Arabidopsis thaliana: one gene and its partners. The protein of the gene in region 1 interacts with the protein of each later gene in a pairwise test. Each region holds a gene or a part of one and is shown in the gene's direction. Other genes may lie near its edges. The genes, in order: CHR11, AT1G18950, HB-1 and PTM.

Region 1 (7,572 bases):
AAGAGACAAACATGAAAGCGGGCGAGTCATTGAACTCGGCGGAGACAGGAGCCGGAGACGAAACTCCAGGGAGCTGAGTCATCTCTGTCTGGTCGCTAGTCACCATTACTATAAGAGCAGTCAGAGTGGCGGAGAAAAGCAGAACTCTTGTTATAATGTCTATTTTACGACAATCTAGGAAACTGGCGGCTGATGAGGGTGGTGGTGTAGCCGACGCGGGAATCGGTTCAGATTTGCCAGTTTCAGGGTCAGGGTTCTCAGTAGACGCCATCAGATGATTCTATAACTCTTTTGTGGATTAGGTTGTGGTTAAGTTTGGACTGTGAGTTATGAAGTTGGCCGCTACATGAGATTATTTGTGAGTATATATATATAGATAGTCCCGGTGATGAGTTGTAGTTATTACCCACACGCCAAGAAACAAATTTATATTTATTTACACTATTCACTAATGTATATATACAGGAACATGAATATCAATTCATTTAATTTCTAGCTTGCATTTTTCATTGTTTAAAATTTCGAAATAGTTTTTGGAAAATTCACTAGATGTTGTAGTTTTATTTCAACGTTAACATATAATGTTTGTTACAACAAATTTTGCATGCATATCTATTTTTGATTAATAGAAAAATTAATATATTTCTATAGGTATAAGTTATGGATAATGTAGATATATACAATGGGAATGTGTTAGGCCAACCCCGGGAAGGTTGGTGAGGAAATTGGGCGACGGTAATCAAAAACAAAATACAAAAAAGGAGAGTAAAGAACAGTAGGAGTGGTTAACCAATCATCTGCATGAAAAAGGTAATTTTATACATGCTCTTAGGTATCACTTTGCTTTCTGCTTGTGGCTGCAAATCATGTAAATGGATATCTTATTTTATGTAAAAACATTAAACTGCAAGAAACAAATGTCCCAGTAGCATGACCACTTCAGCACTTCTCAAACATATTATAATGTTTTAACATGGATAAAGCTATTTCAGATACTAATCCAGTCGAAATAGAGTAGTTTTGTCTTAGCAAAATCACCAAACTTTATCTCTTGATACCAATACAGAGTGACTGCACAAGTCTGAGAACAACACAAAAAAAGTCAGACCTAACAGTAATAATATATATGAACTCATCATGATTTTTATTTCATATCTTAATAATACCTAACTGGTTTTAGTAAATCCAAATATATAAAATTAGAGATAGCTTTAACAAATTGGGGGCGATGATCAATCACAAAGATTAAAAATAGTGTAACTGGAGAATCTTTCTCGAGCAGCTCCAGCATAGTAATAAGTTGGGGAAAATATCGGGCTTGAAAGTGGGTCTTATGGGTCAGTCAGGCCCAACTATGATTAAACAAAGCCCAAATCGCGAATGTTCCAAAACAACTCTCTTGCTCAGGTGGCGGGTAATTAATTACTAATTCCCCGTTCGATGAAGCGACTAGTTACATCGTAGCCATATATTTATTCAGCTTAATCAACGGTTACAAATTACCCTGAAGCTTCGGTCGTTTTGCAATTTGTATCTAAAGTTTCACTTTTTTTTTAAAATCTTTATTTTACTTTCTCACAAGCGAAGCGAACCCTCGATCTCAAGGCGAAAGCAGATTTCGTAGCTTCCATGGCGAGAAATTCGAATTCCGATGAGGCTTTCTCGTCAGAGGAGGAAGAAGAGCGGGTTAAGGATAATGAAGAAGAAGATGAGGAGGAGCTCGAGGCTGTTGCTCGTTCTTCTGGCTCCGACGATGACGAAGTAGCCGCCGCCGACGAATCACCAGTCTCCGACGGAGAGGCTGCTCCCGTAGAAGATGATTACGAGGTAGCTGCAGGCTAATTTCGTTTTGATGGCTGTGATTTTTGAAATCTCAGTGAACTGCATCTTTTTTGTACTTGGAAAGTTGAAATTTCATTTAATGCAATGGATTCGGCGTTCGCGTCTTCCTTCGTTTGTTAGTTTTAGTCGAATTTTTGTTGAGTGAAAGTTCATTGAATGTCTGCGCATGGTGGCTCATTGTGGTATAAGCAGGACGAAGAAGATGAGGAAAAAGCTGAAATCAGCAAACGTGAGAAAGCCAGACTTAAAGAGATGCAGAAGTTGAAGAAGCAGAAGATTCAAGAGATGCTGGAGTCGCAGAATGCTTCCATTGACGCGGATATGGTGCGTTGTTTGAACTATATATTTCAGGTTTTTAGCTACTTTTCGTTCTCGTGCTTTTAAGTTCTGACGATTCTGAATCATTCCATGTGTTTTAGAACAATAAGGGAAAAGGGAGACTGAAGTATCTTCTGCAGCAAACTGAGTTATTTGCCCACTTTGCTAAAAGTGATGGATCTTCTTCTCAGAAGAAGGCAAAAGGAAGGTGTGTTAGATGCAATTTTTTCCTAAAATATCGGTTCATCATTGCTTCTAGCTTCAGAGTAAATATGATGAGCCAGGCCCTGATTTATGTGGTTTTAACTTCTACCTTCAGGGGACGTCATGCTTCCAAAATAACTGAAGAGGAGGAAGACGAAGAGTATCTAAAGGAAGAAGAGGATGGCTTAACTGGATCTGGAAACACACGGTTACTCACACAGCCCTCTTGTAAGTACCTGTATTTTGCTCTTTAGTCTAGGATTACTGTATATTAATCGTCTCTCTAGTCTCGAGCAACAAGTACAATATGATTGACATCTCCGTCCATTTGCGTAACCATACATATTTTTGTGACCTCACAGTTAGTATGTAGTATAGCGTAAATTACTGGGAAAGCTTGAGATTCATCTATTTTTCTTCTCAATCGACAGGTATTCAAGGGAAGATGAGAGATTACCAATTAGCTGGTTTGAACTGGCTCATTCGTCTTTATGAGAATGGCATAAATGGAATTCTTGCTGATGAAATGGTAAATAATTCTCCCCCAACGATCCAAGCAGAATAAGTTCTCTATATTCTGTCATGCTAATCATGAAACTTTTTTTTCCCTGTGGTCTAGGGTCTGGGGAAGACGCTTCAAACGATTTCTTTGTTGGCATATCTTCATGAATACAGGGGAATCAATGGTCCCCATATGGTGGTTGCTCCAAAATCAACACTTGGTAATTGGATGAACGAAATTCGCCGGTTTTGTCCTGTCCTACGTGCTGTGAAGTTCCTTGGTAATCCTGAGGAGAGGGTAAGTCATGAGCTGTCTGCCATTTCAGAATTTCATGTAAACGTTTATCCCAGGATTCTGAAATGTCTGCTAACTGATGCAGAGACATATTCGAGAAGACCTGCTAGTTGCTGGGAAATTTGATATTTGTGTCACAAGCTTTGAGATGGCCATCAAAGAGAAGACAGCACTTCGTCGGTTTAGCTGGCGTTATATTATCATTGATGAAGCGCATCGAATCAAGAACGAGAATTCACTCCTTTCTAAAACCATGAGACTTTTTAGCACCAATTATCGGCTTCTTATCACGGGGACCCCCCTTCAGGTGTTTGCTCTATCTTATTCTTGAATATTTGGACATTGAAGTTTTCTTTGTTAAGTTGCTTCTAATTGAATGTTGAAACAACCTTTCTTGTACGGCTCTGTTTGCACTCTTAACTTTTGCTTTTCCGGGCACTTTTAATATTTACCGTATAATGACTGTGTAGCCTGCTGTACTCATATTGTCCTCATATATGCAGAATAATCTCCATGAACTGTGGGCTCTTCTAAATTTTCTTCTGCCTGAGATTTTTAGTTCAGCAGAGACTTTTGATGAATGGTTTCAAATTTCTGGTGAGAATGACCAGCAAGAAGTTGTGCAACAACTGCACAAGGTATGGATGCACCCATTCCTTGCATTGAGTTTATTCTGTTCTGTGTGAGTCGTAGGTTAATTGCTTTCATGTATCTTTTTAGGTTCTTCGACCATTTCTTCTTCGAAGACTAAAGTCAGATGTTGAGAAAGGTTTGCCACCGAAGAAGGAGACCATACTTAAAGTTGGTATGTCTCAGATGCAAAAGCAATACTACAAGGCTTTACTGCAGAAGGATCTTGAAGCGGTTAATGCTGGTGGAGAACGCAAACGTCTGCTAAACATTGCAATGCAACTGCGTAAATGCTGCAATCACCCCTATCTCTTCCAGGGTGCAGAACCTGGTCCCCCATATACCACAGGAGATCACCTTATAACAAATGCTGGTAAGGCTAGAAATAAACTAGATCCTTCAGATTTCTGTGGAAGTTTTTTATGAAGCATCTCTATATTGTTATTTTAGGTAAGATGGTTCTCTTGGATAAATTGCTTCCTAAGTTGAAAGAACGTGATTCAAGGGTGCTGATATTTTCTCAGGTAAACGCTAATACAGAACAGCTGGATATAATGGTTTCTTACAGTTCATCTTCTCTTTTTCCTTTGTCTATGTAAAGTCTGAGCCTTATTCTTTTCTTTCCACATGTCAGATGACAAGACTTTTGGATATTCTTGAGGACTATTTAATGTATCGTGGTTACTTGTATTGCCGTATTGATGGAAACACTGGTGGTGACGAACGAGATGCCTCCATAGAAGCCTACAACAAGCCAGGAAGTGAGAAATTTGTTTTCTTGTTATCTACTAGAGCTGGAGGGCTTGGTATCAATCTTGCTACTGCAGATGTTGTGATCCTTTACGATAGTGATTGGTAAGTCTCTCATCATTGTCCACTGTAGTTTATGAACTTTCTCTTCACGTTTGACGAGTCTGGCATATTCTGGCAGGAACCCACAAGTCGACTTGCAAGCTCAGGATCGTGCCCATAGGATTGGTCAAAAAAAAGAAGTTCAAGTGTTTCGATTCTGCACTGAGGTTGGTCTCCTCTCCGTGAATTTCAAGTTAAAACAGCCATGAGAGGTTTAAAATTAATTATGTGTTGTTTGTTTACAGTCTGCTATTGAGGAGAAAGTGATTGAAAGAGCTTACAAGAAGTTAGCACTTGATGCTCTGGTTATTCAACAAGGGAGATTGGCAGAACAGAAAAGTAAGTGCGTTATACAGTGATTGCTTTATGCATTGGTTCATCTCTGACAGAATTGGTATTTATCTTAACTATGCAGCTGTCAATAAGGATGAGTTGCTTCAAATGGTAAGATATGGTGCTGAGATGGTGTTCAGTTCTAAAGATAGCACAATCACAGACGAGGATATTGATAGAATCATTGCCAAAGGAGAAGAGGCAACAGCTGAACTTGATGCTAAGATGAAGAAATTCACAGAAGATGCTATACAGTTTAAAATGGATGACAGTAAGGGTGTCACTTACCTACTATTTCCCCTATTAGGTTGTGTGAATATTGTAATGTTTTGATAATCTGTTGTTTTATTTGTTGTAGGTGCTGACTTCTATGATTTTGATGATGACAATAAGGTAACTTGTATATTTCTTTGCATAGTCTTAACTTTCATGTCATATCCCTAGCTTTGCTCTGCATTACTGATGATAAAATTTACTAATATATTTGTAAATTTGTTCATAGGATGAAAACAAGCTCGATTTTAAAAAGATTGTAAGCGACAATTGGAATGATCCCCCCAAGCGGGAGAGAAAGCGCAAGTAATGATTACTTCTGTCTTATACATTGTGCAGTCCTATTTTGCCAGTCTTCATATCTAAAAGAAACATCCCTTTTGTTTTATCTACTGTATCTTCAGCTACTCTGAATCTGAGTACTTTAAGCAAACATTGCGGCAAGGTGCTCCAGCTAAACCTAAAGAGCCTAGAATTCCGCGCATGCCCCAGTTGTGAGTACCTCAACAACCTCCATCTCATTGTTGAATGCCTTTTCCCTGTTTTGATGATTTTCTTACACTAGAAATCTAATTTATTGTCCCTCTTTCAGGCACGATTTCCAGTTCTTTAACATTCAGAGATTGACCGAGTTGTATGAAAAGGAAGTACGTTATCTCATGGTAGGCCTCTCTCAAAACGAAACACTTGATTCCTTTGATGTGCTTAAGAGCGAGTTTTTTTGCCTTATAAAAGCAACTTGCTTCTTTTTGTGCTTTTTGGTTTCAGCAAACACATCAGAAAAATCAGTTGAAAGACACAATTGATGTTGAAGAACCAGAAGGTCAAGCTTGTACCCACTTTGTTAACATGTACCCACTTTGTTAACATGTTTTTCAGCAAACCTATTACTGATTAAGAATTTTTTTGTTAGAAGGTGGGGATCCCTTAACTACTGAAGAAGTAGAAGAAAAGGAGGGATTATTGGAGGAGGCAAGTGAATATGTTTGATGTTAGAGTGGTCTTAGACATTTGATTTGGTAGGCTTTAATTAATTTTTTGTAATTGTCAATCTCCAGGGTTTCTCAACATGGAGCAGAAGAGATTTTAATACTTTCCTCAGGGCTTGTGAGAAGTATGGCCGCAACGACATAAAAAGCATTGCCTCTGAGATGGAAGGGAAAACAGAGGAAGAAGTTGAAAGATATGCCAAAGTATTTAAAGAGCGGTACAAGGAGCTGAACGGTAAGTAACACCTTTCAATGCTAAGTTATGCAGTGTTTTTACATGTTTCTAAGTAATTCCTACCTCCAAAAAGAGCTTATGCTAAGTAAGTTTATCATCTTTCCCTCTAAATATGTAGACTATGATAGAATCATTAAGAACATTGAGAGGGGAGAGGCAAGGATCTCTAGGAAAGACGAAATCATGAAGGCCATAGGGAAGAAACTGGATCGCTACAGAAACCCTTGGCTGGAACTGAAGATTCAATATGGTCAGAACAAAGGCAAGCTGTACAATGAAGAGTGTGACCGTTTCATGGTATGTCTTTTTCTCGTTTCCCTTTTTGCTGTTCTGTCTCATTAATTATATCATGAAGTTTTTGACTGTTGAGGAACTTTGGTGGTGAAAAACAGATCTGCATGATTCACAAACTTGGTTATGGGAATTGGGATGAGCTAAAGGCAGCATTTAGGACATCGTCTGTGTTCAGGTTTGACTGGTTTGTGAAATCCCGCACGAGTCAGGAACTTGCAAGAAGATGCGACACTCTGATTCGACTGATCGAGAAAGAGAACCAGGAGTTTGATGAAAGAGAGAGGCAAGCCCGCAAAGAGAAGAAGCTCGCGAAGGTAAAATAATGCAATATTTTCATGTATAAGGTTGTATTCTTTTGATTTGATTTCTTTAGGTGGTTAATGCTTTTCTGGTTTTTAATCTTTGAAGAGTGCAACACCATCAAAGCGACCTTTAGGAAGACAAGCAAGTGAGAGTCCTTCATCGACGAAGAAGCGGAAGCACCTGTCGATGAGATGAGATTATGTGTTTACGGATCTGTCGAGTCTTTGTTGTTACATATAGTTAAGCTAATGTTAAAAACATAGCAAATGGATTTCATTCTGCTTTCATGAATGTTTGTCCTGGTTTGACTTGGATTTAATGAAATGACTTAATTATAATTTTGTAGACTTCTCTTCCGTAAAGAAACTGAACAAAAGGATTTGAGGCCATTGGATGGCAACTTAGGCTGAAGCTTAAGCAAAAGTTATGAGTTTCTGAGGGATATATGAACAGACGATTTTTTCCACAATTTATTACTTCTTTGTTCAACGGTTGCATTTTAT
Region 2 (7,904 bases), on another chromosome or scaffold:
CACTGCTGTTGGCATTATGAAGGTAATAAAAGACTCAAGCTTTATGAAATTTTATTTGCTTAGTGTTGATATCTTGTTACTGCTACTTCTCTGGGACCTTAAGACTGATTCTGATAAATCAGATAAATCCTCTGTTTTGGGTTCTGTTTTGCAAATTATGTCTTCGCTTTCGTTCTTTGCAGGGTTTTGTTGGACTAAGCGGAGCAATGTTAATTCAGCTGTATGAAGTCGTATGTCCTGGAGATCCAAAGACTTTTATTCTTCTACTTGCAATTGTACCTTCACTTCTCTCTGTTTTGGTGATGCCTCTAGTCAGGGTATACAAGACAAGCACAGTGGATGAGAAGAAACATTTGGATGGTTTATCAACTTTGTCACTTATCATTGCAGCTTACCTTATGATTACTATTATTCTGAAGAGCACTTTAAGTTTACCATCATGGGCCAATGCTGTCACACTTGCAGTTCTACTTGTTCTGCTTTCATCGCCTCTACTAGTTGCGGTAAGAGCACACCGGGACAGTATCGAGAAACCGTTGTCATCTGTTTATTCTCCTTTGGTAGATAATCTGGAAGCAACAACCTCTGGAGAGATTTTGATGCTAGATGAAGACAAAAGCTTGAATCTTTTACAAGCTATGTGTAATGTAGACTTTTGGTTGTTGTTTCTTGCAATGATATGTGGAATGGGATCCGGGATTTCGACGATAAATAACATCAGACAAATAGGTGAGTCTCTTCGATACACTAGCGTTGAGATAAACTCATTGTTGGCTTTATGGAATATATGGAACTTTATTGGTCGGTTTGGAGGTGGTTATGTCTCGGATTGGTTGCTGCACAGAAAAGGATGGCCACGTCCGTTGCTAATGGCTACAACTCTTGGAACTATGACCATAGGTCATCTAATCATAGCCTCTGGTTTTCAAGGAAATCTTTACCCCGGTTCGATTATCGTAGGCATTTGTTATGGCTCACAATGGTCGTTAATGCCAACAATTACATCAGAACTATTTGGAGTTAAGCACATGGGAACAATCTACAACACCATTTCAATTGCTAGTCCTATGGGTTCATATATCTTCTCTGTAAGATTGATTGGATATATCTATGATCGCACCATTATCGGAGAAGGTAACACGTGTTACGGTCCTCATTGTTTCCGATTGGCATATGTGGTAATTGCATCTGTGGCTTTCCTCGGATTTCTTGTCTCATGTGTGTTGGTTTTTCGGACAAAGACGATATATCGACAGATCTTTGAGAAGATATTGCATCGTCGATAAAGAGTTGTGACTTGTGAATATCATGTACACAATGTTGTACAGTGCCATTTGTGTTTTGTATTTACATGCGATTGTTCAAATTTATTATTGATTGAAAAATCTAAACTGTGTAATAAAATACAACTACATAACATATACTTGTAAGAAGAGGTTCTTTGTTTTTTGGAGAAGTTTATTTGTAATTTAGTCCATGGAATATAGTTGTGTGACATAAATGAAGTAATTAATGTAAGAACCAAAGTTAGATTTTTTTACCTCCTTGGTCTGATTGAGAAGTATTAATGATGAGGTTTGCTATTTAGAGATACTTTACTTGAGATGGTTCCTTTTAATGGGTTACTTCAATAGTCATGTTGATACACTACATCTAGTTATGTTTCTCAAATCAATATTTTCATAAAATTATCTTTGTAATATTTTTAAAATGCTGTAGTAATTTTTTTAAAAAATCTAACACTATTATAAAAAACCAATAAAGTGCTTTTACTAGTTCTATAAAAATTAATAAAGTTTTTTTTGTTGGGTTAATAAAAAAAAGAAGAAGAAAAAAAAACACAAAAAATCTCTCTCGAGCCCTAATAAAACTGTGAGCCCCTCTATTTTCTCAGACCCTCGTGTTTCACTCTCGCTTAACGAGTCGTTTCCTTTCCTCTGATCAATTCTCTCAGAGAGACCTATTTGACATTTATTTACCATCTCAATCTTCTTTTTCCTCAGATTTTCTTCTTCATCTCTCTCACACAAACCCCAAAAACGACAGCGTTTTCAAAACCCAAACACCAGTCGACGCTTTTGGACCTTCCTTTCTTCCTCCTTGTCTCTCTCTGATTAACCGATTTCGATTTCCCCACAATGCCAAAAGGGTTTTGATTCTCTCTTCCTAAAAATCTCAAATTTACACCCAGAAAAAAACCCTAATTTCGATCTTTAATCTCTACGCTCTCTAATGGGTTCCTCCTCCGATATCGTCCCTGACCGATCTCCAGCTGACGATGTAGCTCCGGTTACAGATACCAAAATTCCAAAGGAGGAGCCTTTGACGCTTAGGAGAACGCGTCCTTCTCGGGCTTGTACTGTTAGGGCTCAGCAGCGGCTTCAAGAGCTTCAAGCGGCGGAGAGAAAGCTTAAGCCGCCTAAGAAGGAGTATAAACGAGAGCAGCATCGACGGAGAGAAGAGGTGGTGGAGGAAGATGAGGATTCGGAGGATGACGATCAAGAGGATGAAGAGAACGACGGAGATGATGAGAGTAATCCGAAGCAATGCGTTGCTGGAGGAAGTTCTACTAAAATCATTACTTCTCTTGTTCCGCCACCGGAACCTTCACAGATGCCGCGGTGGAATCTTCGTTCTATGTGGGAACTTGCTTCTGTGCTCAATTTCTTGCATGTGAGCTCTCTGTTAACTTCAATTGTGTTTCGTCTTCTGGTTCTTAGCTGCCAATGAGTAACTAACTCTCAAAGTTCGTTTTTTTGTTTCTTTTTCTGGATGGTGATGAAGGTATTTAGACCGCTTTTGAAAATCAATGCGGAGTTTTCAGCGGAGGAGTTTGAAACGGCTTTGCTTACTCCAAACGATACTTTAAGTGATATTCACATTCCTCTGCTAAAGGTTGGTGCTTTGGTCATCCATTGTTGTGTTTATTCCTACTCATTTAGTGTACTTCTCGTCTCTTATTGATTGTTTCCTAATTCTTGTTGGTTTCCTTTGGTTTCTGTTTGTATTAACTTCAATGTACTACTAGAGGTTGTCTCATTGACATGAAAATAACATGTTTAGGTGCTCTAGACCTGAGTGTTGGCTCTTATTAGTACTACAACTAGTGATAAGACATTTTTTGGCGTACTGAATGGTTCTAGAATAGAAAATTGCCGTTTTGAGTGAGAAGATTCTGTTAAAGTTTAGATATTATATAGAATCCTGGGTGCTGTACCCAGTGAGAAATAGAAGGGGACCTGGTAATGTGTTAGTATCCTATATGTTAACTGCAATTTGCTTGCAAAGTGATGTCACCTCTACTTCATATAAATTTGCTTCTCTTTGAATCCTGGGTGCATCTTCTTCTGCACTTCAAATTAAATATTCCAAGGGGTATGACTAATTTTTTTGGTAAGCCCCTTTGTAATGCGACTTGGGTAGACTACAACCAACTTGTTCAACGATATCTTGAGCTTACTAAGTCTTTCTCAGTTCGGATGAAAGGGACTCTTAGTTTCAAATCATTTTGGCTGAGCGGCTGGTTGACCAAGATATAGCATCTATGTTTTTGGCTAGCTTTCCTCGTAGGCACCTTATAGGCTTGTACTGCCCAGTATAGATCACTAGTTTTTCTGGAACATCTTCATGAGTTCTTTTAGAGTTCCCTGATTAAAGTCCTTGATCATTGTCATGATATCATGATTTTTGTTGTTGTTTGTGCGTATTTATAATTGCCATTTTTCTCTAAAGTGCTGCAGTTACTTTTGGTTTATGTTGATACTAATCAATCATGATTTGGAATCAAATATATTCTTCACTACTATGAGATGTTCAAATTGCTTAATAATTTCTCTCTGTGAGCAATATTCAATTTTCTTCCTTTCAAATTGCAGGCCATTCCGCCTGTAACTCGAATGGCTCTCACCCGTGATACCTGGGTAACTGTCCTGTGCAGAAAAATAAGAGATTGCTGGCATTGGGTAATGATTGCTTAACTTCGTTGTCCTGATAAATCAAGTACTTTTTGCATTATATCATCTTCTGACATGATCTTCACCTACTCATTTAGGTTGCAGAAGGGGACCTTCCTATTGTTGCCTTGCAAGGGTTAGTTGTCATAATTTTCCTGAATATCATGGTAACGGATTAGTGATCCATTTATGAGCTTCTCTTCTTAACCTTGTAGGCGGGAGATTGAAGTTTACAAAAATCTTGATCCAGCCATCCGTGTGGTGATTTTAAAAGCGTTATGTGATATTCGTGTTGAGGTATTGTTGCTACTGTATGACGATCTATTATCCAAATCTTGATACCATCTGTATTGTTTTATCCTCTAAAACTTTTTGTTATTTGTGAAACGCACTAGAGTTGAAACTGAATTTTCATTATGTTGTATATCTGTATTGATGTATATAGGGTACCATGTATATATGTTTACAGTTTATGATGTCCATTATTAAGCTCTGGAGCTTTCTGATGCGATGCTAATGACTGACTTGAAACAAAGTGGTTTTAACACTTATAGTTTTGATTGGTTTTGTGTATTTCTTACAGCAAGAGGATATCAGGAGCTACATTGACAACTCTCTTAAAACTGGCGTTCACCTGTCAGTTTTTCGCAAAGATCGTGTTGGGGGTGATTCACATGGAGTTAATTTTTGGTATGGAGCAAAGAAAAAAGACCTAAAGGACTCCTTTGTTTGCATATATCTGATATTACCTGTTTGTTTCTTATGTAAGGTATGAGGAAGATCCCTTAATTGGTCACCGTTTATATCGGGAAATAAGGAAAGCAGAGGTGTTGAAGGTCAAAACAAAGGGTTCCAAGATTCTTCCTAACATAACATACCAATGGGAAACTGTTGCCACTAATTTCGATGAATTCCAAGATGTTTCTGTAAGTCTCTTTACAATCAATGATTTTGAATTACCAGATAAATTGCTTAGGATACTTCTATATGCTGTCTGTTTAGTGAGTCTGTAATTAATTCTTGCTATGGAATATGGTTAGATAGCATGCAGGCTAGTGTTAACCATGCACTCGAATATTAATCTTCTTTAATGGATTATACTCTATAGGTTGAGAAAAATATATGTGGAGAATCAGTTATTTTCAGAGAATTTTTACTCAAAGAATGGTGCATACGATTGCTTGTAAATTATCCTTGATATCTTTAGTTATTGTGAGTGAATCATATTAAAATGTTAGCACTGCTAAGAACTGGCTTAAAAGGGCTCATATGCAATAGTTGGATGTTAATGGGTTAGAGTATGTTGTTTGTGTTAGTGAGTCCAGTGTCTTTTTCTCGAGAGATGTCCTTTCTTGTTGCAGTTGATCATAGGGTTTAACAAGGTGAACACAAACAATTTTATACTGTGGATCTGTTTCAATGCTTTAGTACCTCCTTTTGCGGTTTCCCGAGGGAGATCCTATATACTATTCTGTCGAAACTTATGTTTCGGACTGAACTTCTTTACTTTTAACTGTCAATTTCTGTGAAGGACTAAACTAAACAATAGGTATAACTTTCCATGTCTTTACTACTGATTTGAGATGCTCTGTCTCTTTGTTTTTCAGGAAAAACTTCTTCAGAGTAGTAGTAGAATTGAAGTTTCTCTAGGGAAGAAGTTAGTAAAAGATATGCTTCCTGAGATAGAAAAAGAACACAAGGTTCCAATCTGCTCTATACTTTTCTATTTTTTTTTTGTTTTTTTTTTCTGTTTTTCATGGCTGAAAATTCTCTTCAACTGCATATTTTCATAATGGAATTTTTTCCACTGTCAGAGGAAAGAAAAATTGTTGAAAAAGCAACACAGACAGGCTCTTCTCCTTGATAACTTTGTGGTTGTTGATGGTCTTGCTGGGCGATCTCTCCGTGATAGGAAGCCAGTTAGATACACTTTTGGTAATGTTATGACCTTGTTGGAAATTCATGCCCGTGGTTCTTCCTTTTTGGCATTTTTTCCTATTTAAATCCATCTAAATCTCTACTGGACTGAAGTATTACTAATTTCAAAAGTTATTGCAGATGATTATGATAAGTCCATAAATGATGCTATCAAGATAACAAAGTACGTCTGAGTCTCCCTTGCATTGAATCATCTCTGTTGGTTTTCTCTAACATTGTTATTGGATGACTATCTTCTATTGTCTCTTACATTCTGTTTGTTTTCGTGATACTATCTCAGGAAGAAACATCCATCACCAGAACATCCTCTCCACAGAAGAGAATCTGCCAGGTTGGACGCTCTTGCGAATGGCAGATCGACCAGTTCAACCCACCCTACTGAGCCTGTGAACGATACAGCATCTGGGAGATCTTCTGATTTTGCTGATTATGATGATTTCGATGAGCATAGAGATGAATCTTTGGACAGAAGGCAAGATACAGTGTATTTTTCTTCTCTCCTTAAATCTCCCCTCTGGAACTATGCAAACCTTTAGCTTAATTAACAAGTATAATGTTGTGGCAGTAACAGGCGCAGACAACGACCTCAACGATATTCAGCTACGGACTTTGTTGAAACTGTTTCAGACAATGAGGTAGAATTTCAAAGTGACGATGACATTTATGGGGAAGCAGTTTATGATGAAGAATATCTGAAGAAGCGTAAACAGAAAAAGCTCTCTAGCGGTTCTGAGGGAGATGAAGAAAAGGGAGATGAAGAATACAAATGGGATGAAGACAATGCTGAGTATGAGGAAGAAGAAGAAGAGGAAGAAGAAGAAGATTCCCTAAGTGCAAGCGAAGAGGATAGTGATGAACCCCGGAGGGCTAAGAAAATGCCACGGAGAGAAACTAAGTTAAGATCAAGATCAAATGATTTTCGGCCAGGCCTGAGACGAAGTAAAAGAGCCACGCGAATTGATTACCAACAATATGAGTTCTCAGACTCGGACAAAGAAGCAACAGGACTGGCAAAACGTAAGCGGTTTGTTGAGCCGGACGAACCTTCTGATGAAACAGGGAATGGGGATTTCACAATGGGAAGTCAGGACTCTGAAGAAAATGCAAACGACCCAGAAACAAAATCTGGTGAAGAAGAAGAGCCGAGAGATGTCAATGACAATGCAGATACAACAAATGGAAAAGAGAATAACCAACTTAACAAATCAAACGGCACAACAGACCAAGAAGAAGTTGAGGGTGTAGTAGGCAAAAGGCGTTACCTCGACTTAAACGAGCTGGCCCCGGTATCTGGTTTTGATGATGGCCCAAGTACAGTATTGAAGGATGATGATAAGACAGACAATTCATAAGCAAGAAAGAGAGTTTGCCTTCATAAAGCTCCCTCTGGTCGATCACCATTGTATGATAAGCAAGATTTTCACGAGTTATTTCTGGCAACATCCCCTTGCAGAGAAAAGTTGAAACGGTAAGAGACACTCCATTGGCTTTTTCTTCATTCAAGCATATCTGCCTTCTTGTTGTTTTAAAGTAATTCAGGCAAATTCGGCTGATAAGTGAAGAGGAGAATGTTATGGAGGCCGAAGAGGTATGTGTAGATTAGGTTAGTCATTTTTTCTTACCATGAAGAAAGAAACAATGAAGAGGGTGAACCAGATATTCCTAAGAGCTGTTTAATGTTTTATGGAATTATTATTAGTGTACAAGTAACTTTCTCTAACTTTTTTGTATTTTGATCATAAGAACAAGTTCAAGGTCTCTTAGATTTTGGTTAAACGACGCAGCTTTGAGACTGCTGAATGTGATTATGGTACCATGGAGCAAATCTTTCTAATGGCTGTGAAACAAACTATTGTTGCTTTATCCCAGGTCATATTGTGAGCTTCAAAGCTCATGAAACTACATACCTTCAAATTAATAACTTGGATTTTAGATATATATAGGCTATATATATATGTACATAAATGGTTATTAATTTGATCAAAACTACAATTTACTAATGTCTATGCATAT
Region 3 (4,598 bases), on another chromosome or scaffold:
ATTCTTAGCTTCTCTTGCTTTATCCTCTAAAACGTGTAGCTCGAAGTTGGTTGTTCTCAAGGCAGCCCATAGAAGTTTCACCTACCATTGCCAACCCTGTTCTTTAGATTAGTGGAGTTGAAGAATAAGTAGCTCCAGCATTGGCAGAACACAATTTGGGAAATAAACCAATAGAAAAAAACATTTTGAGAACTAGTCTAAAGAATAGAATAGCCACATGACTGAACAGACCTCTTCTTCTAACTCGCTTATCCTCTTTTGAACCAAAGGTAAGCCGCTCTGAGATCAAATAACAAGTGTTAGCAATGCAACTACCATGATAAAGTGATGGCACAATATACATTTCAGATAAGAAACTAGCTCCAAACAGAAGAAACAAAGACCCTACTTCAAGAGCAGCAACATAATCAAACTCAGTACAATCTTCTAAGGGTTTATAAACTGATTCAAATACAACTAGAAGAGGGATAAAACATTACGAGCCGAGTACTTATCATACAACCAGGCAAGTTTTCGTATCACCAATACTTAGACATCCTACAACAAAGGTGTGGCAACTATACAGAAGTGGCAGCTACAACTATAATGATTAAGCTCAATAGGGCATTGAGTTTTCTCAAGTAAACATTATTCAGAAAGGGGGTATCATAGGAGAGCCTCAGACTAGCACATACGATCTAATGAGTGTCCTACCACATTCATTCCCTCATCAGCAGAGGAAATTTTTAAAGCCTTTTAGCTAATTCTACTTAACATAACTAAATGTTCAATACATTCTCCTTAGAGAACCAAACCAACCTTGTCAATGTATGAAGCAGACTGCAAATCAAGGATCTGAGTTTCAGCAACTTGGATCAACTTCTCACGCTCTTTCAAGTAAAGGGTCTTACCATCCAACTTCTGTATTGTCGCCTCAAGAACAGCTTCTACACGATCAGAGCCAATCGATTCCCAGCAAACAAAACAATACAATTAGCAAAAAGAAAAAGAAAAAAGAGAAGCCTTGGTGGTTCAACCCAAAACCACCACGAACAAAAAGAAACAAACTTTACCCAATTGAGATATTCTGAGCTTAGCTGAGTCCAGATCATTGATCAAGTTCTGATTAGAACCGATCTGCTGCTGGACTTGAGAGGAGAAAACGAAGAGTGGTGAAATGATGAAAAACAGAGCAGCCAAATGCAGCCCCATTCTCTGTTCACCGGAGTTCCGACGTTCCCGGCGTCGGAAACTAAGCCAACAGTTTCGTCTCTCCTCTTCTTCTTCAGAGAGATTTCGAGTCAAAGCTTCCTCGTAAAGGTTCTTTCGATTCCTCTGTGATTCATAGGGACGGCGAGTAAACCGGGATTAAAAAATCTGAATTGAAGTATTGAACCGGTTTTAAAAACGACAAGGACTGTACACTTGAAAACAATAAAGGGCAAGATGTTTACTCTCAACACAAGTGGTTCCTCAAAAAAAAAATCTGGGGGATATGATAATCATGCAACCAGCCTGCGGATCTGAAAGACAACAACACGAACACGAGACCAAAAGCACGTTAAAGCCCTTCAAGAGTTGTTGTATTAATTTAGTTTTAAATTAACTTGATTTATATAATAAAAAGAAAAAAAGCTTTGATAAACACATCAACGGCAGAAACACACATAAGCACGCGATTCGCTGTAGAATCCTCAAGTTTCGATTTTTTTTTTCTTTTCATTTACAACAAAAAAAAACAAGATTTTAATTAAGAAGAAAGGCAAAAAAAAAGAAAGGAATATGAAGGAGGTTGAAATTGAGATGAGTGGTACTACTACTACTACTACTAGAAGCCCTGTTGTTGTTTTTCTTCCTTTTTGGTTTTTATCGATTTTACTATTATTATTGTTTGTTCTTCCTCTTCTTCTTATTCTTACTCTTATATATTCTACTTCTTTTTATTTTTATTTTTTTACGTTTTTGGATCAGGGTTTGTTTGTTCAATAGAAAGCCCTAGTTTTTGTTTTTGTGTTCTTTGATTCTTCTTGCGGCCGTTTCTGGGTTTCTTCTTCTTCTTCTCTTTCCATGGAGATGGGTTCTGACGGTGAAGATCAGAAGATCAGGAGCGTCGTTGGTGATGCTAATCTTAATAATAAGAAGAAGAAGATTGATAATAATTCCTCCTCTAAGGATGGTCGTGTCAAGCCTAAACGTCAGATGAAAACTCCGTTTCAGCTTGAAACCTTGGAGAAAGTTTATTCAGGTTCTTATTCATCTCAATTAATTTGATTCAATCTTCGTTCTCTTTGTTTTTTTAAGTATTGATGTTGAATTTTTGATTCAGAGGAGAAGTATCCGTCGGAGGCGACGAGGGCTGAGTTATCTGAGAAATTGGATTTGTCAGATCGACAATTACAGATGTGGTTTTGTCATAGACGGTTAAAGGACAAGAAGGATGGTCAGTCTAATAAACCGGTGAAATCATCGGTTGCTGCGGTTCAATCGGCTTCGGTTAACGAGTTACCGGCTGCTGCTGGATCGGTACCTGAGCAAGATTCCAGATCTGATTCGGGTTCTGAGTCTGGTTGCAGTCCTTATTCCAACTCTAGGAGGAATTTTGCTAGTGGTAGTAGTAGTTCTCGAGCTGAATTGGATGAATATGAGACAATGGGAAAGCCGAGTTATGAGTCGCGGTTGTCGACAATGGTGCATAGAGCTATTGTCTGTATTGAGGCTCAGTTAGGTGAGCCATTGAGAGATGATGGACCTATTCTTGGCATGGAGTTTGATCCTTTGCCTCCTGGTGCGTTTGGAACACCTATAGGTATACATTACTTTCTATGTTTGCCCTGTTTTATGACTTGTGTAACCAATGTCAGTGTTAGTATTACACTTCTTGTGATAAGTAACTCTCTAACTTTGTTTTCATTGGCATTTCAGCGATGCAGAAACACCTACTTCATCCCTATGAGAGCGATCTGTATGAGCGACATGATCCCCGACCTCGAAGAGTTAGTTTTCTGACTAAACAGATATGCTCTATTTAGTTTCTTTATAATGCACCTAGATATCTCAAATTGACTAGTTGAAGAGGTTACCATAAACTGATGGTCTATGAATTATATGGTAGGAGTAATTTTTAGAGTTCTCATTACATGAAGGCTGACATTAGTCTTATGGCAGTTTTTAGTCTCTGATCATTGTTAGAAAGATGAATTCCGCTCTGCTGTTTCTATTCTCTTTCTTGTCCATTCATGTATTCACAGTTTTATAATATTTTCTTTTTACTACTTTGCTTAACATATTTGCTTTTGTTGATTATAGTCTCATGCTGCTGCCCGTTCTTTCCATGAGCAACAATCTCTGGATGATCCGTCTTCTTTTACACCTAATATGTATGAACGATACTCTGAAAATCATGCACGTGGTATGGACTATGAAGTTGCACGTTCTAGAATTTCATCATTTATGCACGCGAATGGACCTGTACCAAGGTCCTATGTTACCCCTGGACATGCGTCTCGTAACTGTTCGACATCTCAACAAGACATGCCAAGCCCCATTGAATCAGCGCATCATGGTGATAGATTCCTGCTGGAGAAGGACTCATCAGTCCTTGGTACAGAAGATCCATATTTGTTACCTGATGGAGTGCGTAAGAGTAGTGATGTGCATAGAAAGGGAAAGGTAGCTTCATTGTACCAACTTTTATTTCATCCGTTTTTGTTGACAAGATGTGTCTTTGTTGTAATGTCATTTTTCTATGTTTACTCTCACAGATTAACGATGGTAGACTTGGAAGAGGGAGTGAAACCCGAGAGAATCATGGACCAAAAGATCTTGAGAAGCTAGAAATTCAGAGGAAAAAGGTATTTGCTCTACATTTATTATCCTCCTTACTGATTATTTGGAAAGGTGTCTTATTGTCTTTTGTTAGTATCACTGTAACAGATATATTGATGAGTTGATGCTTGTGTCCTCAGAATGAAGAACGCATGAGAAAAGAGATGGAAAGGAACGAGCGTGAGAGGCGTAAGGAAGAAGAGAGGTTGATGCGTGAAAGAATAAAAGAAGAGGAAAGGTTACAGCGTGAGCAGCGTCGTGAAGTAGAAAGAAGAGAAAAATTCTTACAGAGAGAAAATGAAAGGGTAAGTTTGGAAAACTCTGCCCAGTTGTTATTCTTTGGTATTTTTTTGTTAATCCTGCTGAGATTGAGCAACTTTTGTGGCAAGAGTTCAGAGAGTGAAAATTATCTTTTTGTTGACATGTTAAAGGCTGAGAAAAAGAAGCAAAAAGACGAGATTCGTCGAGAGAAAGACGCTATTAGACGCAAGCTTGCCATTGAGAAGGCAACTGCACGTAGAATTGCCAAGGAGTCTATGGATCTTATTGAAGATGAGCAGCTAGAACTAATGGAATTGGCTGCTATTAGCAAAGGATTACCCTCAGTATTACAGCTTGATCACGACACATTGCAGAATCTTGAGGTGTATAGAGGTATGGTCTCTCAGATTTAGTTAGTAGTGGATTTGGTAATCACGGCCTAACGGTCTACTTAGTTTTTAGGCTTTACAATCAATAATTTTTGGTAATTTATTTTAGTGTTTTTCCTCTCTGAAATTTTAAGCTTAGTATTA
Region 4 (4,729 bases), on another chromosome or scaffold:
CGAGATCATTGACCGAATTGGCCGGTGGGACTAGTATAAGAGAACTTTCCAACAAATTCAAAGAGTTTTTGATATTGGAACATTTTACTGCATATAGAATTAGAAAGTTTAATTTTGGTCTTTTACACTTCCTTTAAGAACCTTTCTCGTATTCTTTGAGAGTTTGAGCTAAGTGCAAACCAGTCTTGTAATCTTAGAGCTCGGCTATCTGATCTTGTCTCGTCTCCATAATCTTATAATTTTACTATATAATGGCGGACCAAAAACATATTTTTTAGATAAATAGTATATCTAAAAGTTAATTAATATATGAACCATAAAATCATACTATATATATGTTTAGCAAAACTATTTAAATTTTCAAATATTTTAAAATATTGGAGATATTATTTATAATAATTAGATAAATACTTAAACCAATGATGAAAACTCATAAGATTTTTTAAAATAACATGTCCTAAAACTATCTAATAAATTTAAAATTATACTATTTTTCTCGTCTGCAGTATTTTTTGGGTTTAAAAAGTCAGTCGCTATTTTATTAATCTATATTGATTTTTTATTTTTTTGTCATCCAACGTTTTTATTGATATTGAGCCCAACGGGCTATACAAGTGATGAAAAGAGAAGTCCAAACTCCAACATTTACAACCTTGATTACAGTTAAAAACTCTTTAATTTGATTAGATTAAGAAACTAAGATGCCGCATCAACAACACATGTTGATACGCGAGAAGGAGAGAGAGATATAGTCGGTACCGCCCAAGATCCACGATTCGGTGCAAACTCTGCCGCTGGCTTCACAAATCCACCACCGAACTCCTTCTACAAAGTTCGTTGTTGCAAATTCGATTGACTTCCACTATTTCCGTCTCGAAGAAACTGCAAGAAGATATCGTCAATCCTTCATCATCTTAACCATGATTCTAGCAAAAGCTACGCCTAAGACCTAGTTGAGGTCCTCATCATAATAATTAACAAATATATTATTTTAGCTCAAGATTGGAGTTAAGCCAACAGTGGGACGGGAAGATCAACTATGGCAAGCGAAATTCCAAGTGAGATATTGTAGAAATAGAGAGAATTGATCTTAGCAAAGAAGTAAATCGGAATTTTATTAGATTCAGATAACCGAGAGAAAACAAACCAACAAAGCTGAAAAATATTCGATTAGAATGAGAAAAGCAATATTTATAACAATATTCCGGTATTTCGGAAATCGTCCTAAGTTTTTTTTGTTAATCTATACAAATTATTACTACATAATATCAAAACAAATAATTTGGTTTTTTAGATTTAATTTTTTTGAATTCTAACTAAAATAAGATGACAAAAAAATATTTATTACTACATAATAGTCTTAAAATAATATATCTAGTTATATCTACTTAATGATCAATCTCAATGATTTTTGTTTTTCTTATTTAATTTACTGACGTCTTGACAGTTCAACATTATTGTAATAATTAGTATACAGAATTCTGGAAGGTAATTCTTAAATTTCCCGAAAAGAAAACAAAGTTACAAGGCCCAAAGGCCCAAAAAGACACGCAGGCCCAAGCGTTTAAGGCAACATACTGCCATGAAGGCACACATGTCCAACTGAAAATAAAAAACAAGTACAAGGCCCAAACAGGCCAAGACCAGAAAAAGCACGCAGGCTTAAAGGGAAAAGCTGTAGGGAGAAGAACCACAGCCACAGCTGCACGCAGGCTTAAAGGAAAAAGCACTCTCCTTCTTCTTCTTCTTCGTCTTCTCTCTCTTATGTCCTTGTCCAATTCCCAAATCCTTCGTTGTTGAATTTTGTCTTCTTTCTTCCTGAGTTTTCCCTTCTTCTCTTCAAGAAACCTTGATCAGGTGATTTTAAGTCTTCTCCTTTACAGATCTCGATTCGCTGTTGTTCCATGTGAATTGGGTTTTAAACCTTTTGATTATTGATGAATCTAGGGCTTATGGGTTTCGATGAAACAATGAGATTTTGATGAATCTAGGTAGTGGAGAAACTTACTGCTCCCAAAGAGATTTTGGCCATAGAGTATGAAATTCCCCCAAAGGTTGTTTTGATGGAAGCGAAGGTTCCTAGACCTAGGGGAAGACCGAGGAAACGTCAGAGATTAGAGGATGATAATCGAAAATTGAACAATCGAGGGAAAAAGCAAGTTCTGGAGGTTGAGCCTGCAGTGCCGATATCTTTACTTGGTTGTTATATGCTGAAAGATTTTGATGACAATGAAGTTTTTCTAGGGAAGATAGTGTCTTATGATACTGGGTTATATAGAGTGATATATGAGGATGGTGATTGTGAGGAATTGGAGAGTGGTGATCTTCGTCGTTTAATTATTTCGGATAGTTACTTAGACGATGAGTTACGTGTTAGAAGGAAGAAATTAGATAAACTTATACTGAAGAAGGAGGAGAAAAAGAAACGAAATTCGCCGGAGAACAAAGCAGTTGAGTTGCCAAATCAAGTAAATGGAGTGCAGGCACGAGCAGTTACGAACTCCGAAGATGGTGATTCATATAGTGACTCAGAGTCGTCTGAGAGTGGAGATAAGAGAGGTTCAGATCTTGAAATTGAGGCTCCTCTTGTTCCACCAGTGGATTTACCTCCTTCATCAGGGACAATTGGTATCCCAGAGGAGGCTGTGGCACATCTCTTATCTGTATATGGGTTCTTAAGGTCATTTAGTTTTCAGCTTTATATCTGCCCATTTGAACTCAATGATTTTGTGGGAGCGTTGTATTTCTCGGGACCAAATTCTTTGTTGGATGCTGTTCATGTGGCCTTGTTGCGGGCATTGAAGGGTCATCTAGAGAGACTTTCCTCCTCCAAGTCTGTCCTAGCCTCAAAATGCTTGAGGTAAGTGCAGATAAATTTTATTTTGGAAGTTTCTGTTTTGCTTTCCGGATGTTCACAGCATATGTTCTCATTTCTTGAGCCTTTTCTGGTTTCATAGTGTATAAATCATATTACGAACTAGCAGATTTGGTCATTGGGTTAGGTTTCTGAACTACATGAATTCTAGTTAATGCAAAATTTGTCTTCTGCCAGTGAAAATGGTCGAAAGAGCTTATTTTAGGATGCTTTACCTCTTTAGCTGAGAGGACTTCACAGATTTTGTTGCTTTGCTATCTGCAGGTGCATTGATTGGAGCTTGCTCGATGTGCTAACTTGGCCTGTTTATTTGGTTCAGTACTTTACTGCGATGGGGCATGCTAGTGGGCCTCAGTGGAACATTTTTAACAAATTTGTTGTGGAAATAGAATACTACTCGTTACCCATTGGGATGAAATTGAAGATTCTACAAATTCTCTGTGATGACATCTTTGATGTAGCTGATCTAAGAGATGAAATAGATGCTCGCGAAGAATCTGAAATTGGATTTGATCCTGATAGAGTTGCCACAGGTCTTCTTGAAAATGTACCTAGACGGGTCCACCCCAGATTCGCTAAAACCTCAGCTTACAAGGAAAAAGAGGTTACTGATAGCTCAACAAACGAGTCTAAAGATTTGGACTCAAGATGTACTAATGGCGGTTCAAATGAAGTTAGCTCAGATCTAGATGGAAACAGTGATGAATGTAGGATTTGTGGAATGGATGGAACCTTGCTTTGTTGTGATGGATGTCCTTTAGCATACCACTCAAGATGCATTGGTGTGGTCAAAATGTATATACCAGATGGGCCATGGTTTTGTCCAGAGTGCACTATTAACAAAAAGGGGCCGAAGATTGCTCATGGAACCTCACTTAGAGGAGCTGTACAGTTTGGAATGGATCCACATGGGCGACTCTTCTTGGGTACTTGCAATCACTTACTGGTGTATGTTTTCGTTGCCTCCATTCATACATAATTTGTTTTGCATTTGTTGGAATTAGCAACCTGATCTTTCAATCTATTCCCCTGCTACATAGTTTAAGATTCATTACTTCCTAGGCAAATAGTTGCTAACAGGTTTTAGCCAGCATTACTCTGGAACATTTGAATTTGCTTGTTGTGACACTGATGAGCATTCTCCTTCTTTTCTCTTAAATCACAGGCTTAACATATCTGTCAATGGAGATGCAGTTGTCAAGTACTACAATGTTAATGACATATCAAAAGTTGTACTAGTGCTTATATCTGCATCAAGCCATACACTAGAATATGTAGAGATTTGCAAAGCGATCACCCAATACTGGGATCTTCCTGAAGGTATCTCCTTGAGGGAAGGGGAGATTGGTTTAACTCAAGCAAAGGATAGAGAGGATGGCAAGGTTTCAGAGATCACTAAGTCAGATAGTGCAAATATTTCCAATAGAAGTCATACCCAGACTGTGTTTGACCTCCCTACATCTACTTTGGGTAATACCAACAGTGCTGTTACAGGAGGTTCATGTGGAATACAGGGGAAAAAATTGGCTGCTCGTGTTACCTACCTGGGTTTATCGTTTAAACCCAACACATACAATAATCATTACACAAATGGAGAATTGGCTGTATCTGCTGCTGCCAGTTTGGCTGTCCTATCGTCAGAGGAAACCCATGAACCTGACCTTCGCAAGTATAATAGTGCCAAGAAAGCTGCATCAAGTAACATCTTAGAGCAGATGAAAGCTTTTTCATTAGTAGCCCCCCGTTTCTTCTGGCCAAGTCCTGATAAGAAGGAGATTACCAGAGAAAGATGTGGTTGGTGTCATTCTTGCCGACTCACATCTGCAAGCAGGAGAGGATGCATGTTAAATGCAG

What was found.
Region 2: the proteins of CHR11 (region 1) and AT1G18950 interact in a two-hybrid assay, tested with the Arabidopsis thaliana proteins (one study listed by BioGRID).
Region 3: the proteins of CHR11 (region 1) and HB-1 interact in a two-hybrid assay, tested with the Arabidopsis thaliana proteins (2 studies listed by BioGRID).
Region 4: the proteins of CHR11 (region 1) and PTM interact in a two-hybrid assay, tested with the Arabidopsis thaliana proteins (one study listed by BioGRID).

What each region holds. Positions count from the first base shown.
Region 1 is NC_003074.8:1,939,437-1,947,008, forward strand, and holds CHR11 (chromatin-remodeling protein 11), read left to right. Parts: upstream 1-1,536; 5' UTR 1,537-1,629; coding exon 1,630-1,827; intron 1,828-2,034; coding exon 2,035-2,166; intron 2,167-2,261; coding exon 2,262-2,368; intron 2,369-2,479; coding exon 2,480-2,592; intron 2,593-2,795; coding exon 2,796-2,893; intron 2,894-2,983; coding exon 2,984-3,163; intron 3,164-3,245; coding exon 3,246-3,467; intron 3,468-3,663; coding exon 3,664-3,798; intron 3,799-3,880; coding exon 3,881-4,163; intron 4,164-4,240; coding exon 4,241-4,314; intron 4,315-4,424; coding exon 4,425-4,645; intron 4,646-4,721; coding exon 4,722-4,809; intron 4,810-4,887; coding exon 4,888-4,981; intron 4,982-5,057; coding exon 5,058-5,252; intron 5,253-5,333; coding exon 5,334-5,368; intron 5,369-5,477; coding exon 5,478-5,554; intron 5,555-5,652; coding exon 5,653-5,742; intron 5,743-5,840; coding exon 5,841-5,910; intron 5,911-6,016; coding exon 6,017-6,071; intron 6,072-6,161; and 12 more. Other genes in the region: AT3G06390 (Uncharacterized protein family (UPF0497)), read right to left, coding at 12-271. UniProt on the Arabidopsis thaliana protein: Possesses intrinsic ATP-dependent nucleosome-remodeling activity. Constitutes the catalytic subunit of several complexes capable of forming ordered nucleosome arrays on chromatin. Involved in the formation of nucleosome distribution patterns.
Region 2 is NC_003070.9:6,544,307-6,552,210, forward strand, and holds AT1G18950 (DDT domain superfamily), read left to right. Parts: upstream 1-1,870; 5' UTR 1,871-2,232; coding exon 2,233-2,673; intron 2,674-2,784; coding exon 2,785-2,895; intron 2,896-3,875; coding exon 3,876-3,962; intron 3,963-4,051; coding exon 4,052-4,089; intron 4,090-4,168; coding exon 4,169-4,250; intron 4,251-4,536; coding exon 4,537-4,643; intron 4,644-4,722; coding exon 4,723-4,879; intron 4,880-5,560; coding exon 5,561-5,653; intron 5,654-5,767; coding exon 5,768-5,888; intron 5,889-6,011; coding exon 6,012-6,054; intron 6,055-6,171; coding exon 6,172-6,375; intron 6,376-6,456; coding exon 6,457-7,243; 3' UTR 7,244-7,802; downstream 7,803-7,904. Other genes in the region: AT1G18940 (Nodulin-like / Major Facilitator Superfamily protein), read left to right, coding at 1-22, 183-1,286. UniProt on the Arabidopsis thaliana protein: Probable transcription regulator.
Region 3 is NC_003070.9:9,977,890-9,982,487, forward strand, and holds the start of HB-1 (homeobox-1), read left to right. Parts: upstream 1-1,588; 5' UTR 1,589-2,046; coding exon 2,047-2,224; intron 2,225-2,305; coding exon 2,306-2,785; intron 2,786-2,901; coding exon 2,902-2,972; intron 2,973-3,285; coding exon 3,286-3,648; intron 3,649-3,740; coding exon 3,741-3,830; intron 3,831-3,944; coding exon 3,945-4,109; intron 4,110-4,235; coding exon 4,236-4,458; intron 4,459-4,598. Other genes in the region: AT1G28410 (myosin heavy chain-like protein), read right to left, coding at 1-81, 232-279, 799-926, 1,053-1,191. UniProt on the Arabidopsis thaliana protein: Transcriptional regulator required for the maintenance of the plant vegetative phase.
Region 4 is NC_003076.8:13,479,573-13,484,301, reverse strand, and holds the start of PTM (PHD type transcription factor with transmembrane domain protein (PTM)), read left to right. Parts: upstream 1-1,710; 5' UTR 1,711-1,857; intron 1,858-1,947; 5' UTR 1,948-2,063; coding exon 2,064-2,860; intron 2,861-3,139; coding exon 3,140-3,823; intron 3,824-4,040; coding exon 4,041-4,729. UniProt on the Arabidopsis thaliana protein: Membrane-bound transcription factor required for the plastid-to-nucleus retrograde signaling. Functions in multiple retrograde pathways.